Coturnix japonica: one gene and its partners. The main gene of each other region encodes a partner of the protein of the gene in region 4 in a complex. Links are inferred from orthologs where the notes say so. Each region holds a gene or a part of one and is shown on either strand. Other genes may lie near its edges.

What was found. The genes of interacting proteins can lie anywhere in the genome.
Region 1: MED13L (region 4) and MED31 share a complex: the UniProt entries of both Homo sapiens proteins name them as parts of the mediator complex. The link is inferred for Coturnix japonica from reciprocal best matches to the Homo sapiens genes MED13L and MED31.
Region 2: MED13L (region 4) and MED7 share a complex: the UniProt entries of both Homo sapiens proteins name them as parts of the mediator complex. The link is inferred for Coturnix japonica from reciprocal best matches to the Homo sapiens genes MED13L and MED7.
Region 3: MED13L (region 4) and MED23 share a complex: the UniProt entries of both Homo sapiens proteins name them as parts of the mediator complex. The link is inferred for Coturnix japonica from reciprocal best matches to the Homo sapiens genes MED13L and MED23.

The regions. Positions count from the first base shown.
Region 1 is NC_029534.1:8,576,572-8,580,603, reverse strand, and holds the start of MED31 (mediator of RNA polymerase II transcription subunit 31), read right to left. Parts: upstream 2,813-4,032; 5' UTR 2,652-2,812; coding exon 2,642-2,651; intron 1,441-2,641; coding exon 1,363-1,440; intron 773-1,362; coding exon 676-772; intron 1-675. UniProt on the Homo sapiens protein: Component of the Mediator complex, a coactivator involved in the regulated transcription of nearly all RNA polymerase II-dependent genes.
Region 2 is NC_029528.1:6,561,710-6,565,008, reverse strand, and holds MED7 (mediator of RNA polymerase II transcription subunit 7), read left to right. Parts: upstream 1-1,192; 5' UTR 1,193-1,298; intron 1,299-1,505; exon of another isoform or gene 1,506-1,533; intron 1,534-1,716; 5' UTR 1,717-1,734; coding exon 1,735-2,427; 3' UTR 2,428-2,787; downstream 2,788-3,299. UniProt on the Homo sapiens protein: Component of the Mediator complex, a coactivator involved in the regulated transcription of nearly all RNA polymerase II-dependent genes.
Region 3 is NC_029518.1:51,917,783-51,921,891, reverse strand, and holds the start of MED23 (mediator of RNA polymerase II transcription subunit 23), read right to left. Parts: upstream 2,813-4,109; 5' UTR 2,716-2,812; coding exon 2,668-2,715; intron 328-2,667; coding exon 296-327; intron 193-295; coding exon 105-192; intron 1-104. UniProt on the Homo sapiens protein: Required for transcriptional activation subsequent to the assembly of the pre-initiation complex. Component of the Mediator complex, a coactivator involved in the regulated transcription of nearly all RNA polymerase II-dependent genes.
Region 4 is NC_029530.1:10,495,379-10,498,892, reverse strand, and holds part of MED13L (mediator of RNA polymerase II transcription subunit 13-like), read right to left. Parts: intron 2,793-3,514; coding exon 2,631-2,792; intron 503-2,630; coding exon 390-502; intron 1-389. UniProt on the Homo sapiens protein: Component of the Mediator complex, a coactivator involved in the regulated transcription of nearly all RNA polymerase II-dependent genes.

The DNA.
Region 1 (4,032 bases), on a different chromosome or scaffold from region 4:
AACACAATTTACAAGGTGCACTAGAACTGGAGTCTCCAGTATCTCTCCATTATTTTAGTCATTTAGTGCCTTACTCAAGTACCTGAAACAGTGAGCGCTGTACCTTTTCCATACACTGTAACTTAATACCTTCAGTAACTACAAGGCTAGAAAACAGGGAATCCAATAACAATATAAATACATACACGGAGCTGATTAAAATAACTTTTATAAATACTAGATTTCATTAAAACAAAAACTAATTAATTAAATAGCTCTTTCCAGAGCTCATTTGAAGTAAACAAAAAAAATTTCAATAACTGAGTTTAAACATTAATTAAAAAAATGAAAAAAAACGATTCTTTGTGTAGCTATCAACAGGGCAAAAATCACTCTCAGAATGTTCTTAATGGGCTGAAGTAGTTTTGTCCCGTGATGTTCAGTAATCTTGCTTTATGCAGATAGAAGGTGCAGATAAAGGTTGCAAATGGAAAATTCCATGCATATGTCAAGAATGAAACGTTCTTTAATTGTGCCTATCCCAGACTACAGGAAACAGGAAAATTTATACTGCATATAAACACAGTGCATGTTTTGGCTGCAGGGAGAAATCAAATATGCACATGCTACTTTACAGTGCATAAGAGAAGGTAAAAATCATTAAAATGCAGAAACCTGAGGGCTTTTAATACTTACTTCAAGTATTTTGCATATTCAGGTTCTTTCCAATACAGTAAATATTTAAGATAGTTTACAAAAGCTTTGTCTTTGAAGTATCCTCTTTGTGCAAGAACTGAAATAAGAGACAAGGAATTTTTTACAACTCAATAAAAAAAAAACACAAAGGGAAAAATATATCTTAAGTCAACACTCTAATACAAGTTAAGCATAGTGAGTTAGCATATAACTTTTATACAGCAACAAGGATGCGATGTCTTCAAAAATAGGAACTTCTGACATCAAAACTGTCAGGGAAAACCAAAGAAATTAAGAATTCCACCTGAAACTATTATAAGCATTAGTGAAATGTTGGTTTCAGATATGAGTACTTCTAAGATTGAAATGTAATTATTATTATTTATTTTCTACTACAGATGTGCACTTATTCTCCACCAGACAGTTGTGTTTTATTTCAAGAAATAATCATTTCACATTTTAAAGGTGTCATCTCCTCCCTCTTCTACCTCACCTTTGAAATTCGGACAAATTAAATTATCCTCAGACTACTTTTTTCCTTAAAGATCTCTTCCCTTTTCTTTGTTTACCCTTCGCCTCTGCACACACACACACACACACACACACACACACAGTTTACCATTACACGTAATCATTAAACTGTTAAATAACATTAACTTCTCAGGATCCCTGACATTAAGTACTCACAGTTGAGGTAATTGGGATTTGCTAGGCACTGAACAAACTCCAACTCCAACTGGAACCTAAGTCGATTTCCTGTATCATCTGAATACAAGAGAAAAAAAAAAAACAGTAAAAACTGGACTTACATGGCAGATTTAAAAGTAAGTTTCTCAACTTGAGCCACAAAAATAGAAACGTTTAGAGAGGAGATAAAGCACCAAGAGCCCACAAGTATGGGCTCATCTAGCAGTCTTTTCTATTACATGAATAAGTGTTGGGCCCATGTTAATACATGTACTATTGTTTGTTTGTTTTTTTAACAACTAAAAACGATGCAAATAATGGAGAAATGCTCTCTGACACTTTATGTAGAATATATGAAAAGGGAAGGGAAAGGGGCCTGCTTTTAGTGCAAGGAAAATATAAGAAGGCAAGAAAAGAACACTACCAGCAGCTCACTGAAAGCCTCCTTGCACATAATTTAAGAAATGCTTACCGTGAGGCTGCTTTTTGTTTTGTTTGTTTTGTACAGAGATGTCTCAGTTTAGTGAGAATCCTGCAGTGTTCTCACACTATTGGTGTACAGTAGGCACTGATGACAGACCCAGGGGTCAGCACAAGATTCTGCTGTCCTATGACAAAAGGGTGAGGGAGCTGGGCTTGCTCAGCCTGGAGAAGGCTCAGGGAGATCTCACTCTGGTCTTTCAGCGTGGAAAGGGAGCTTATAGAAAAATATGTTGACTTTCCACCCTGACTGAAAACAACAGAACAAGAAGGAACAGCTTTAAACTCAAACAATAGGAAACTCAGGTTAGATGTTAGGAAGAAATTCTTCTCCGAGGGGCGGTGAGGCCCCGGCACGGGCCGCCCCTCTCTGTGGGGGCCCCATCCCTGGAGCTGCACAAGGGAAGGCTGGAAGGGGCACCGCGCAGGCCGCTCTGGCGGGAGGTCCGATCTGTAAATAAAGTCCCCTCCATCCAAACACTCGGGGTCTATAAAAGATTCAGCTCCTCGACCACAGATGCAACGTGGGATGTCCGCTGCCATGGCGTCCGGGCAGGTAAGAGCCGCGGTGTCTCCATGAACGTCGCGAAGGGCCCCAACGGGGCCAACGGCCTGAGAAGGGCCAAGCCGGGAGGGCAGCGCAGCAGGACCGCCCCGGGCCCCTCCCGAGGAAAACGATTCGGAGCCTGTCGGCCCATCGCTCCCGAACCGCCCGAACTCTGCACGGCAGGACCACCGACGCTCTCCGTGGCCCGGAGTCGCTCGCCCTGCCCGAACCGCACCGCACCGCGCCGCTCACCTGCGTCCATGGCGGCGTGCTGGGCTCCGCTCCCCGCCCGGCCTCAAAATGGCGGCGGGAGCGCCCGCTGTCGGCAGGCGGGAGTTAGGCGGGAGGCGCAACGAGGCAAGATGGGAAGGTCTGTGGTGGTGAGGAGCTGCGTTAATGATGCGAGTTGTGTAGAAAATGACCTTTTGAAATAAACTAAAGTTGGAGCAACTTTTTTTCCCCTTGTCTTGAAAGAGAGCTGTTACCAGACAGGCAGTACGATTGGAAGGTACCTGTAGGAGCAATGTTCTGGGATGGATTTTTTCCTAGGCATGTGTGTGCTTTTCTTTCTTCCCTTTCCCCTTTTCCTTTTTCCCTTTTCCCTTTCCCTTTTTCCCTTTTCCCCTTTCCCGTTCCCTTTCCCCTTTCCCCCTGGCAGCTCATGCTGAGCTGATCTCACACAACCTCTGCAGTTTATTTATTAAGAAGTTATGTCGTAGTGAAACCAGTTAAACAGATGCGCCAGGGGTGCAGAACAGCACTATGCTATTGCACCTGGAGAAGAGTTCAGCACTTAGGTTGCAGATTTATTCCTAATGCTGCATTCATGTCTGGGGTCACACACTGGATGTTCATATCTTGGTTAAAACAAAGACTGGTGGGGTTTAGCACTGTCAAGCTACCTGAGTTCCATTGCTGCTATGATTGCATTATTAGGCACTTGTGTAACAGTTTGCACTATACAGGCTCAACACGAATCCTAATTCTTTTTTAAAATTTGTGATTTGTTAAACTATTTTCAGTGTCTCAGCATTTTCCTGTAGTGCTATCTCTTTCTATGTAGTGTAACTGTTCCCCTCCAGCCCCAATAGAAATTAGGCTATAAGACCACCTAAAAAAAGACTTCTGCATTGCTTTCCTTAATAAAATAATTTTGTGTTTTGTTTCTTTTTTCCCCAAGGTTTTAGTGGTTGTGGAGTACTACCATTACTATAACAGAATTAGCAGGTCACTCCCCAGTAAATACAGACTTTTGTCTAAAAGCAGAGATCAAACATATCCCACGCATTGGCAGTGCTATTCTGGAACACGATGTATCTCCCAAGACTGACTTCAGAGGAGAGAATCCTAAGAAAGGCTTGGTCACATGAATTAAATTACTACGTAGGTTTGCCAGAGTAAAGTGCAAGAACGCAATTCTTGGCCATCAAAACTAGGAACAAAATTGAAAGTTGGAGTCATATTACAAAAACTAAGAACATTCTCTAGGAAAAGCTGGATTTATTTATGCTTTTAAATATTAGCTTAGTCAGACTTTCAGGGAAGAGGTATTAAGCTGTGTGTTTGAGCCAAGAATTTTCCTTTTTATCATCATCAAATCATAACATCACTGCCTCAGTTTCACTTTTTATAGGAGCTGAACT
Region 2 (3,299 bases), on a different chromosome or scaffold from region 4:
TCATCTCAGTCATACTACCAAGAATGAAAATGAAACCCCTTTTTCTTTTTGCATTTGTTGGCCTCTACGTGCAAACTAGGAAAATGACTCAAGATCAAAAGGACGTGTGAAAAACAAATGCTTGGCTCCCTGCTACCTTTTGAAGTCACAGCACTGAGAGCTGTACTGAGCAGTTCACAGAGTGCAAGGCAGCTGATAATCGAGCTCAGCTCGTGGTATGAGAATGTGAAATCAAAGTCTGGAAAGTCTAACAATAGCAAAGACTTGTTAATATCCCCCACCAGGTGGGTTTTCTCATTCCTCTCTAGAAGTGGTGCTTTTAACTCCTTGTCTGTGGGGTTTGGAGTTGCAACAGTTTGCTCTGCAAACCAACACCTGCCAATCCTACAAAGTAGTGAGAGTGCACTGAAGTAATATTTAGAAACAACTCTGCCCTTGATAGGGCACGTAGACAGCGGCTCTCTTACCCTTATTCCTTCTTATGAAGGAGGTTACTGCCATCTGCTGAGGAAAAAAGGAAATCAGAGCACAAAAGCCGCATTGCCAGACCAGTGGCCATCTGCAGAAGCGCTGCCAGCCAGCCCGAGGTCCCACGGCAATATGGAAGACACAGATAGTTGTTTTTTTCCTTAAAATCTGTCTTAAACAAAGAAATGGAAGAAAAGCAAGAAGTTCCATCGGTTTGTTGCAGACTTTATGCATCCAGGCTGCATGTGTTCAGCTATAGAAAGGATGCTAACACTTCCCAGGGTGATGCTTTCACTTTGTGATGGAATAACACCCAAATTTCTGTTGCATGGAAGCTCTACATATATTCCCTGCATCATTCAGCAGTTAAAGCATTGCCATCACACCGGCGGCTCCCCACGGTCTGGGCACTGAGCTCACCAGAGTCCAGGAAGCGTCTGAACGAGGGCAGTTCTACGAGTCTATGAAAGCAGTCCTGGAATACCAAATACTAAACACCAATTCATGCAGAAGTTGGTCTCACAGGGAGTCTGATGCCGACAAGAGTCGGGCCGGCCGCTCCCATCTCTGCCATTCGAGGATCTCTGCCATTAGAGGACCCTGCTGGGACCCCCGCTGAGATCCCTGCCGTGCCCCTGGCAGCCGCAATAGGGCGCCATAGCCCAGGCTGTGAGTGGAACGAGCTCCTGACTGGCATTGCGGGCATCCAACCAAAGTCTACGACGCCATTTGAGCTGCGAGCCAATGGAGGGGAGGAGGAAGGAGAGCAGTTGCCGGATGTGAGGTGTTGGTGTCGGTGGTGGCGGTGGTGTTTTCAGCGCGGTGTGCAGGTGAGTGGGGTGTTTTCTTTGGGCCTTGTGTGTAGGACCGGCCCAGCCTTTGTTTCTGTTCAGCATTGCGGCTTTGGGCCCTCCCGGAGCCGTGCTGTAGTGATGGGCCGGGGGGGAGGGGGGTGCTGCTTTAAGGGCTGCCTCTCCCTGCCTGCCGTTGTCTGCCGCTCCCAGCCCTGGGATGCGGGCTTAGCGGATCAGGCCTCTCCTTCCTTCTGTGCCTCCTCGTTGGCAGGTCTGGTTTGAGAAGTGCTTAATGTGCTGTGTATGTCAGTGCAAAGCTGACGTGGATTTATTGGGGAGTTTCCTGCTATTTGCGTGCTGAAGAATCTCCTGTCTGGTTTGTTTTCTTAGCTTCATGCGTGCTGTGGAGTTGTCGCATAAGTTATGTAATGCACGTTTCTTTTCTATCCACTAGGTATTTTAATCCCCAAAGATGGGTGAACCTCAGCAAGTGAGTGCCCTCCCTCCGCCTCCAATGCAGTATATAAAGGAATACACCGATGAAAACATACGCAAAGGTCTGGCCCCAAAGCCACCTCCACCTGTGAAAGACAGTTACATGATGTTTGGTAATCAGTTCCAGTGTGACGATTTAATTATCCGACCTTTGGAAAGCCAGGGTATTGAGCGGCTGCATCCCATGCAGTTTGATCACAAAAAGGAATTGAGGAAACTGAACATGTCTATCTTAGTCAACTTTTTGGATCTCTTGGATATCTTGATAAGGAGTCCGGGGAGTATAAAGCGAGAAGAGAAACTGGAGGACCTGAAACTGCTTTTTGTTCACGTCCATCATCTTATAAACGAGTACCGTCCTCACCAAGCTAGGGAGACCCTGCGAGTCATGATGGAAGTGCAGAAACGTCAGCGTCTGGAAACTGCAGAGCGATTTCAGAAGCATTTAGAGCGAGTTGTGGAGATGATTCAGAACTGCCTGGCGTCCTTGCCTGATGATCTTCCTCATTCAGAGGGGGGACTGGGAGTGAAAACAGAACCAATGGACACTGATGACGGCAACAACTGCATTGGACAGAGTGAAAAACAGAGAGAACGTTCTGGCTGCAAGAGAGATCAGGTGTTAGACAAAGATGCAGCTATGTGCAGCATTATTGATGAAATGACATGAAGGAATCGTGTCTTATGTTAACTTACAATAGAGAGAGGCCAAATGGATTCTGAGGGTACATGCTGTATTTTGTTTGAAGCGTTCACACTGACTTGGGGGGTGGGTGTGAGCTGCTAAGCAGGTGAGGATATTTAATATTTTGTGTGAGTTATATGTGTATTGGTCAAAACATAACTCTGCTTTGTGCAGCGTGGATGCTGTTAGGTTTTTTGTATAACGTTGTTTTGTCACTTGCAGCTTTCTGGGATGTGCTTCATTTTGTAAATGCCGTGTGCTGCTGGAAGCAGGGGGTTTGGCTGACTGAAATGGAAGCTGACAATTCCTGCATTTCAAATAAATGTTAGTTGTTTACACGTTAAATGGGTCTTTTCAGTTATTCTAGATTGAAGATGAAATCAATATGAAGCCTGAGAAATCCATTCCTTTCTAACTTTTTGTAGTAATGTAACAATGTTAAAGAACTTAAGAATTGCTTTATTACACATGTAATGTGGTGTAACTTGTCTGTGCCTGAAGTCTGTCAAATGGAAGCTACATCAGTTGTGTTTAAAGAGAACTGGACTTGGATCAAGCCCATGGCACAAAGAGTGATTTGATAATGGATAAGTGGCTTCGTTACTCAAGCCCTCCTGTCTGTAGCATGTCTGCTTTCCAAACTAGATGTAGCACCTTTAAAAAAAAGAGAGAAAGAAAAGAAACAATCAACTTTGTGGATGAGGGAACTTACTATAACTACTTGTAACTCTCGTTATGCAAATTATAACTTGGATAATTCAGCTGTTTTCAGGCATGCAGATTTATTTAAATGTGCAGGTAGATTTTAACCATTGGGTGGTGGGATTGAGATCGCTGTAGCTAAAGATGAACTGAAG
Region 3 (4,109 bases), on a different chromosome or scaffold from region 4:
GAAGGATTTGTCCTTTACTCAAAGTTTTACTATACCCCGATCTTCCCCTCCACCGCCCCCCAAAAGTATATAAAGTATACTGAAGAAGCAAATGAAATGTTAACCTGGGAAAGACTGCTCCAGAACTGCCTAAAAGCACCCAGGCAGCTGATCAGTTTGGTTCTCTCATCTTCAGGAGTGTCCATAAACATACTAATTCAAATAAGAAAGTTGGTTATTAGCACTACAGCAAAGGAAGAGCACAAATAGAAATATACACAGAAAGTCACGAAAGTAAACTAACATTTACACTCACCCAGGAAAAGCTTCTTCTATTACCTCAGTTTTCTGCAAGAGAAAAACCTAAAGTGAGTTACTGTGAATCACAGAATCACAAGGTTGGAAAGGACCTACGAGATCATCTAGTCCAACTGTCCTCCCATTGCCCTTGCTACCACAAGCCACTAAACCATATCTCATAGCTCCTCTGTATGACTGAAAAGGCTCTCTATGACTGTCTCACTACCAGGATGCAACAACACTGAAGAAAAACAATCCTACTGTTTCAGGACTGAATCAGAAGCAGGTGCGTTTCTTCTGTTACGCTCAGGTCTCAACATTGAGGCTGCTTGCTTTGAGGATCCAGGTTAAGGCTCCTCTGTTCCCCTCCCTATAAACACCCAGAGATTATTTTATGTCCCAAGGTTGGAAAAATTGTTCAGTTCTGCAACTTGAGCTCTTCTTTCACACTTAGAGATTAAGTTTCTACAGCATTATCCTAATGCATAGGCAAAATTCCTGAAAATAGTACCCTACAGATTGTTTTGCTTTCTATAGAAATTTCATACTACACTCAGATGTGATCGGTAACCACTATGTGTTTCCATCATTACATGGAAGAAATAAACAGTGTTTGAAAAATAAAGAAATTATGGTGATCCTTTCAAATTGCAAGGCCTGGAAACACCTCAAGAGAACATGATATTCATCCACTGTGCACGGAAACTTAAGTTTCACTGCTGTCCATTCAGTCAGTAATAGAAGCAGTGAATGTGACAACTTGATATTTTCTCAGCTGCAAATGCAAGGAAAGCTTAAGACTTTGTTGTCCCTTAACAACTGCAGGCAAAAAAAATACTGCTAAAAAAAAAGAAAGGCAGTGACCACACAGTCAAATCATGGTGTTAAACATGCAAAAACAGAACACAGAATCACAGAATTCTCAGGGTTGGAAAAGACCTAAAAGATCATCCAGTCCAACCATCACCAATACTTCCCAGTTAAATCATATCACTCAACACAACATCCAAACGTTTCTTGAACACTCCCATGGTCGGTGACTCCACCAACTCCCTGGGCAGTGCATTCCAATGCCTGACTACCCTTTCCGAGAAGTAATACTTCCTAATGTCCAGCCTGAATCTCCCCCTGCCGCAGCTTGGAACCATTGCCTCTAGTTCTATCACTGTCTACATGAGAGAAAAGGCTGACCCCAAGCTCACTACAACCTCCCTTCAGGAAGTTATAGAGAGCAATAAGGTCTCCCCTGAGCCTCCTCTTCTCCAGGCTGAACAATCCCAGCTCTCTCAGCCGCTCCTCATAAAGCCTGTGTGACAATAACATGTCAAGAACAAAATGACAATGTCAAGAACAAAACAAACAAATCATCAAGTATGGACAAAAAGCATTCCATAAGCTTAACATCACTTAAAGAAAAGCATATATTGCATTTGCATTTTATAATTCACACACAGAAAGAAAAACTCAGTGTTCCAACCATTTTCACATCAGCTGGGGAGGGACTTTTTACAAAGGCAGACAGCAACAGGACAAGGGGAGAAAACTGGAGGTGAGTAGATTTAGAATAGATATTAGGAATAAATTCCTTACTGTGAGAATGGTAACACTGGAACAGGTTGCCCTGTGAGGCTGTTGATGCCCCCTCCCTGAAAGCTTTCAATGCCAGGCTGGATGGGGCTTTGAGCAACCTAGTCTAGAGAGAGGTGTTCCTGTCTTCAGCAGGAACTGGCTGGAAGCAGATGATCTTAAAGGTCCCTTCCAGCCCAAACCATTCACTCTGTGATTTTCAGTTGCATTGCTCTAGGAGACATACGCATCCCTTCCAGACCAGATACTGCTGGTTCCACCTGACATCAATCAAGCTCCTGTTCTGAACATCCTCATCAAATATCATCCCAGTATTTCTAGCCACAACACTCACTAATATCCACGAGCTACCTAAATCTACTAAGAAACTGCCAACAGAGTTGCCTTGCTAATTAACTCATAGTTCTGCTTATCTTTTCCTTCTTCTAAGCTCATCTTCTTCCCCTTCCACTATGCAGATGGATTCTTTCTCCTTGCAAGCTGCCCCTAATTCAGCACCAGCCTCAAACGCCTTACAGAACCGCTCAGAGAAGGAATTTTTGCTCTGAGGAATCGTTTCCGCACCGCACTCCGCGGTCCCACCGCACACAGCCGAGGATGAGGGCAGCCTTCCCAGCGCCGGCCTCTCCCCGCACCACGCAGCCATGGCGATACCCCAACCCCTTCTCCCTTTCTTTACCTCCTCCGCCGCTCGCCCCCAACCGCGGGCCTCAGGAAGCAGCTCCCCTAGAGCACAGGGCCCACTGCGGGATGCCGGCTGAGCAGCCTAGAAAGGCCGCGGCCCGGCCGGGACACACTCACCACCACCTCTTCGAAGATGCTCTGCAGCTGCGTTTCCATAGGCACCATAGCCCCGGCCGGGCCTCACCGGGCCCTCCGTTAGATGGACACGGAGCGGCAGGACTCCCTTCCCGACGGAAGTTCCCTCCCCCCGGCTGTCACGGAGTTCCGGCGGAGCGGGGTGAGCGCAGCGCCTGCGCGTACAGCAGTGCGTGTATGTGTTGGGTGCTGGTATGGAGGGTCAGCACTGCATCCCTGTGCCGAGGCTGCTGTTAGTTCTATCAGTCGAACGACGGATGCCCCATCCTTGGAGGTGTTCAAGACCAGGTTGGACGGGGCCCTGGGCAACCTGATCTAGTAAAGGTGTATGTTTGGTGGCCCTGCCAGGCAGGGGGGTTGGAACTACGTGATCCTTGAGGTCCCTTCCAACCCGGGTCATTCTGTGATTCTGCGTGATTCTGTAACGTGTAGGAGCAGCTCTTGCTCACAGTGGGCAGATTGGCTGGTCTATTTACTAAATGGTAGCACTGAAGAGAATTACCTACCGCAATTTTTTGTCAAACTCAAAATCCATTCCCATCATAGGATGGGAAATGGAGGCCTGAAGAGGTTGTCAAGTGCATTTTATAGCGTGAGGACCCTATCTGTTAGCTCACAGGATAACAGCAGTTTTCAGCCATGTCTTCAGCATGCCCTAAGATGTACCAAGCCCATTTTTATCATTAAAATTGGGTTACAAGGTAGTTTTGAACTCCATAAGACGTCCCAACAGTGACTGAGATCATGAATTAACTCTCATTGTATTGGGTTTGTGTGCCAAGGCAGTAGGAACTGCAGAGATGGCCTCTGTGAGCAGGGACCAGCACTGCCTCGCATCAGATGAGAACCAGCTCCAGCTGCTCCAACAGAGACCTGATGCTGGGCAGAACTCAGCCACAAGCAACACTGTGTGTCCCATTGGGAAAACGAACTAAAGAAAAGAGAAAGCATCTGTACTGGGCAATGTGAGTGAGAAATGTGAGAGAAACAGCCCAGCAGCCCCCTGCGTTGGTGCAGGAGGACAGGAGCTGGTGCAAGCTGTAATGATATCATTAAGCTTGGTAAGTCTCTTGATGGATAACCCTGTCATTTGTTTAGACAACAGGAAGAGTCTGTGTTTTTGTACCAAACAGATAGAGTTCTGTTAAGTCTTTGTACTAAGTAGATAAGGAAGTTCTGCTTGGAATCCATTGTGAAAGCAAGTATTGAATATGTATATGCCTCTGGGAAAACCTCTGGGTATGTAACACAAGTAATGTAAATGAACTGAATATCTTTTGTGCAAGGTATGCACAAAATGGTGGTGGAGCTCAACACCCATGCATCCAGACTTGATTATAATAAAGAATGGTAGCTTTCTATCATTCCAATTTAAGTTATAGAGAGTTTCATGATAGACCAGTTTATGGTATCCAAGGTTGCTC
Region 4 (3,514 bases):
AGGAGAGAACTTCTACCTCCTTTGATAACTCAGTTTGATTTGGTGACTAAAAATAATTATTTACACAGGCCAGCTCAGACTTTCAGCTAAAACAAATCATCTTTGGGAGGCAAACCAAGGCACTCTCTTTGTAAGGCACAAATTATTCCTCTTCATTGCTTTGCAGAGTAGGATAGAAAAGTGAAGAAGTAACCCTCAAAGCTCTGTTCTTTTGTTGTGATCATAGGATCTGTGGTATATGTAATATGTAATTTTGTTTATTAAAAAACACGTGTAGGATATAATAGAGGTGTAAACTGTTGATAAGCATAAAAAAAGGTCCCTCTGAAATTTCATTCCTGAGTCCCCATAAGTCAAGAGATGAAATGCAAAAAGTGAGAAGGCATTACCTCAAGACATCTGATGTAGTTTTAGAGTCAAGGGGGTGAGGAACTCGCTGAGAACTTCTGGCAGGTAGTAGTTCATCTGTCTGTGCTATGGAGATGTGATGATGCAACGAGGCCTGTGAAAGTAAAATCAAACGAAACAAAAAAGAACCATTTAACTCTTTGCATAGCAAGTATGAAGATTCACAGTGAACAAATACGCCCTGAATTGTCTCAGGACAGCTGGCAGTTCTCTGTGGAACCCACCAGGACCAAGTGCATTTTGAAGTTCCATAACGATTACACTTTTGAATAAAATGACTGCTTTTTCTGATTGGAATTAAGGACCTTTAAAAAGCATCCTGAATTCCACTCTTAATTTCAGTCAGGGAAGAAGTGATGAGGGAAAACACTTGGAGTATGTCAGTGTTTCTTTTTGCATTTCAGCAATATAGGATTTTAATTCTTCAAACTCTCCCATTTAGTAGACCCACCACGGAGAACCAGACCCACCACGGACTGAGATATCCAACCAGAACACAGCACAGCCTTCCTCTTGCTCTCTGCTACCGTGCCTTCTGAATAGCAATCAGTCTTTGTTTCTGGAGTGAGGTTTGTGCCTTGGTTTACACAGGAACAGAAAAGCGATTTCATATTGATCATGTGCCAGGGGTAGAGGCAACCATGTAAGCCTTTCAAGTGGGTAACTCAATAGACCACATGGCCTGCTGGGGCAAGACCTTGAGTTTGTGCTCTGCCAGTTGCAGCATGCACCTCAGAGGTGGAATGCTTCAGCTCAAAAAGACTTAATCCAAATCAGACAGAGATGACTTAAATCTTTACGTCTCACGTGTTGTGCAGGTTTCCTAACTGCAGCGCCATGCAGCACAAAGGAGACAGCACCAGCTGCTCTCTGAGCACTTACAAGTTACTGCACGAATTCAGCCCCTTGCTTTTATTAAAAATTGTCCAAACCGTAACAGTACATTCCAAGTCAAATTAAACATTTAATTCAGCTTGGATCTGAGAAAGCAATTGCGTTGGGTTAAGGGGGAAGGGTGGTGGCTCCTTCTCTCCAGTATAAATCTAGCATAGGCTTACAGAAGGAATTCATGGAGTTGCCTAGAGCTCTGCTGTGTTTTTAAAGCTGGAACTGAAACACAGCTTTTGTATTATTACTCATTCACAAAGAAAGGTAGTTTTAAGTTTAGGATAAAACTTCATCTCTAGGTCCAAAAATACAGTGCCTTATTTTTCACATTAGTTTGAGATCTCTATTCCACAGGTTTGGAGTGAAGCACATAATTCTGGGAAGCCTCTATGAAAACGTGGGGAACTTGGTAGGTGATCTCATTTAACTGAGTACTGCAGTACTTTGCCAACAGATGCTGAAATGAACATAAAGCCTGCCACACCAACTGCAACAATCATTCTCAAATTATCAGTCCTAAAATGGCTTTCTGGCATAAGAATTGAGAAATATTATACACCTTTACTCTGATGACTGCCTGATATACATGTTTGAGAGAATTTAGCTAAGAGACTTCACGAAATGCTTTGTATGTGTCAATTAAGCTGAGAATGGATAAATAAAATGTTACTATCTTAATTACTTTCTATTTTGCTTGCTCGAGTATCCACATGACTCTATCCAAGGCAGATTTTTCACCTTTTTTCCACGCTCACTAGCTGACAACATCCCAGTAAAAAACAGCATGTCACTCTACAGTGGTGAATGAATCTGTAGTATTTGATCCAGTTCAGCTATTGCAAGCAATATACCAGTACCTCTTGCAAGAAACAGCAGTCTTCTGCATTGGCAAATACCAGATAAACTCTGATACTACAGACAACGCCATGCAACTTTTTACATCTACAGGAATAGGAACACATAGCAAAAGCTCTGTGTGGGAGTGCTGCTCTCTAACCTTTTCATCTCTGTATTATGATATGATATGGCAGAATAGGAGGTAATGCGTCTCCTGTCGTGGGCTAACTGAAATTTAGGAAATTAAAATTGGGGAAGACTGGATACAGCATTGATGATTTTGTATTTAGAAGCTGCCAAACTATTCAATTTTCAGGTAATAGAGAGTAAATGCTAATAGCCAGCTGTCTTCAGTGAATTTATATCTGGAAATGTATTTCTTCATTATTTCCAACTGTCAGAAGAAGCAACACAAAGCTGTCATTTTCAAAGGAATTGTGTAGGATCTAAATACAATTCTTCCCCCCTTTCCACTGAGAAAGATCAGCAAGACAGACCTTCAGGAAGAGAGGACACTGGTTTTGTGCCTGAGGACAGGATGACCAGAACCACTGCGGAAGATTCTCAGCTTTGGCAGTCGACACGAAGTATCCGAGAGCAAGAGGCTGCTGCTTCAATTCTTCAGGGGCTTCTCTGGAAAGGAGACGTTCCCCTTGGCTCTGAAATAAGAATTGAAGGCACATTTGTCACTTTACGTCATTACATCTCCCTCCAATAACTTATGTTTTGCTTACTAATCAGTCTTGGATACAGTTCTGTCTTGCTATTAATGAGCTATCCTCCAGTCATCTGTGAATCTTTGTGCTTTCCTTTTTCCCTTACGCTTGGGCAACCAAACGGCAAGTTAAGATCCTACGCTGTGTTGAGCTTATGGGGAGGTGGCTGCTACAGGGTCTCTTAGAGGTAATGGACTCTGGCTATGAATCTGAACAGCTTCTGGTGGGCACACAGAGGAGAGCAGTACTGACTGTGGCGATACAGCCTCACCAAGTTTACATAGCCTGACAGAATTTTCCCATTCCTGGGAATACCAGTTTGAACTGACAAACATCCTGAAGGGAATGTTTGGGGAAGGATGTGTTATGCACCCAAGTATATAAGATACCCTTGGGTGCATATCCTTGATATAAGAATAACCTGGACAGAAGAAACTATGTTTTATATTTATACTACCAAGCAGATGAAGTATAGGAAAAAAAGAAACAGATGTCCCGCTTTCCTATTTGTATCATTTATTTATATACTGTATTTTGTAGTATTAGTTACTCATGTTCTTGCATAGTGACAAAACAGTTACTAAGAGACAGGAGTTAAGCAACTTTAAAAGGCTTTACTAGCAATTTCGTCAAACTTTGGGCTGCAGCCTGTCAGGATATACATC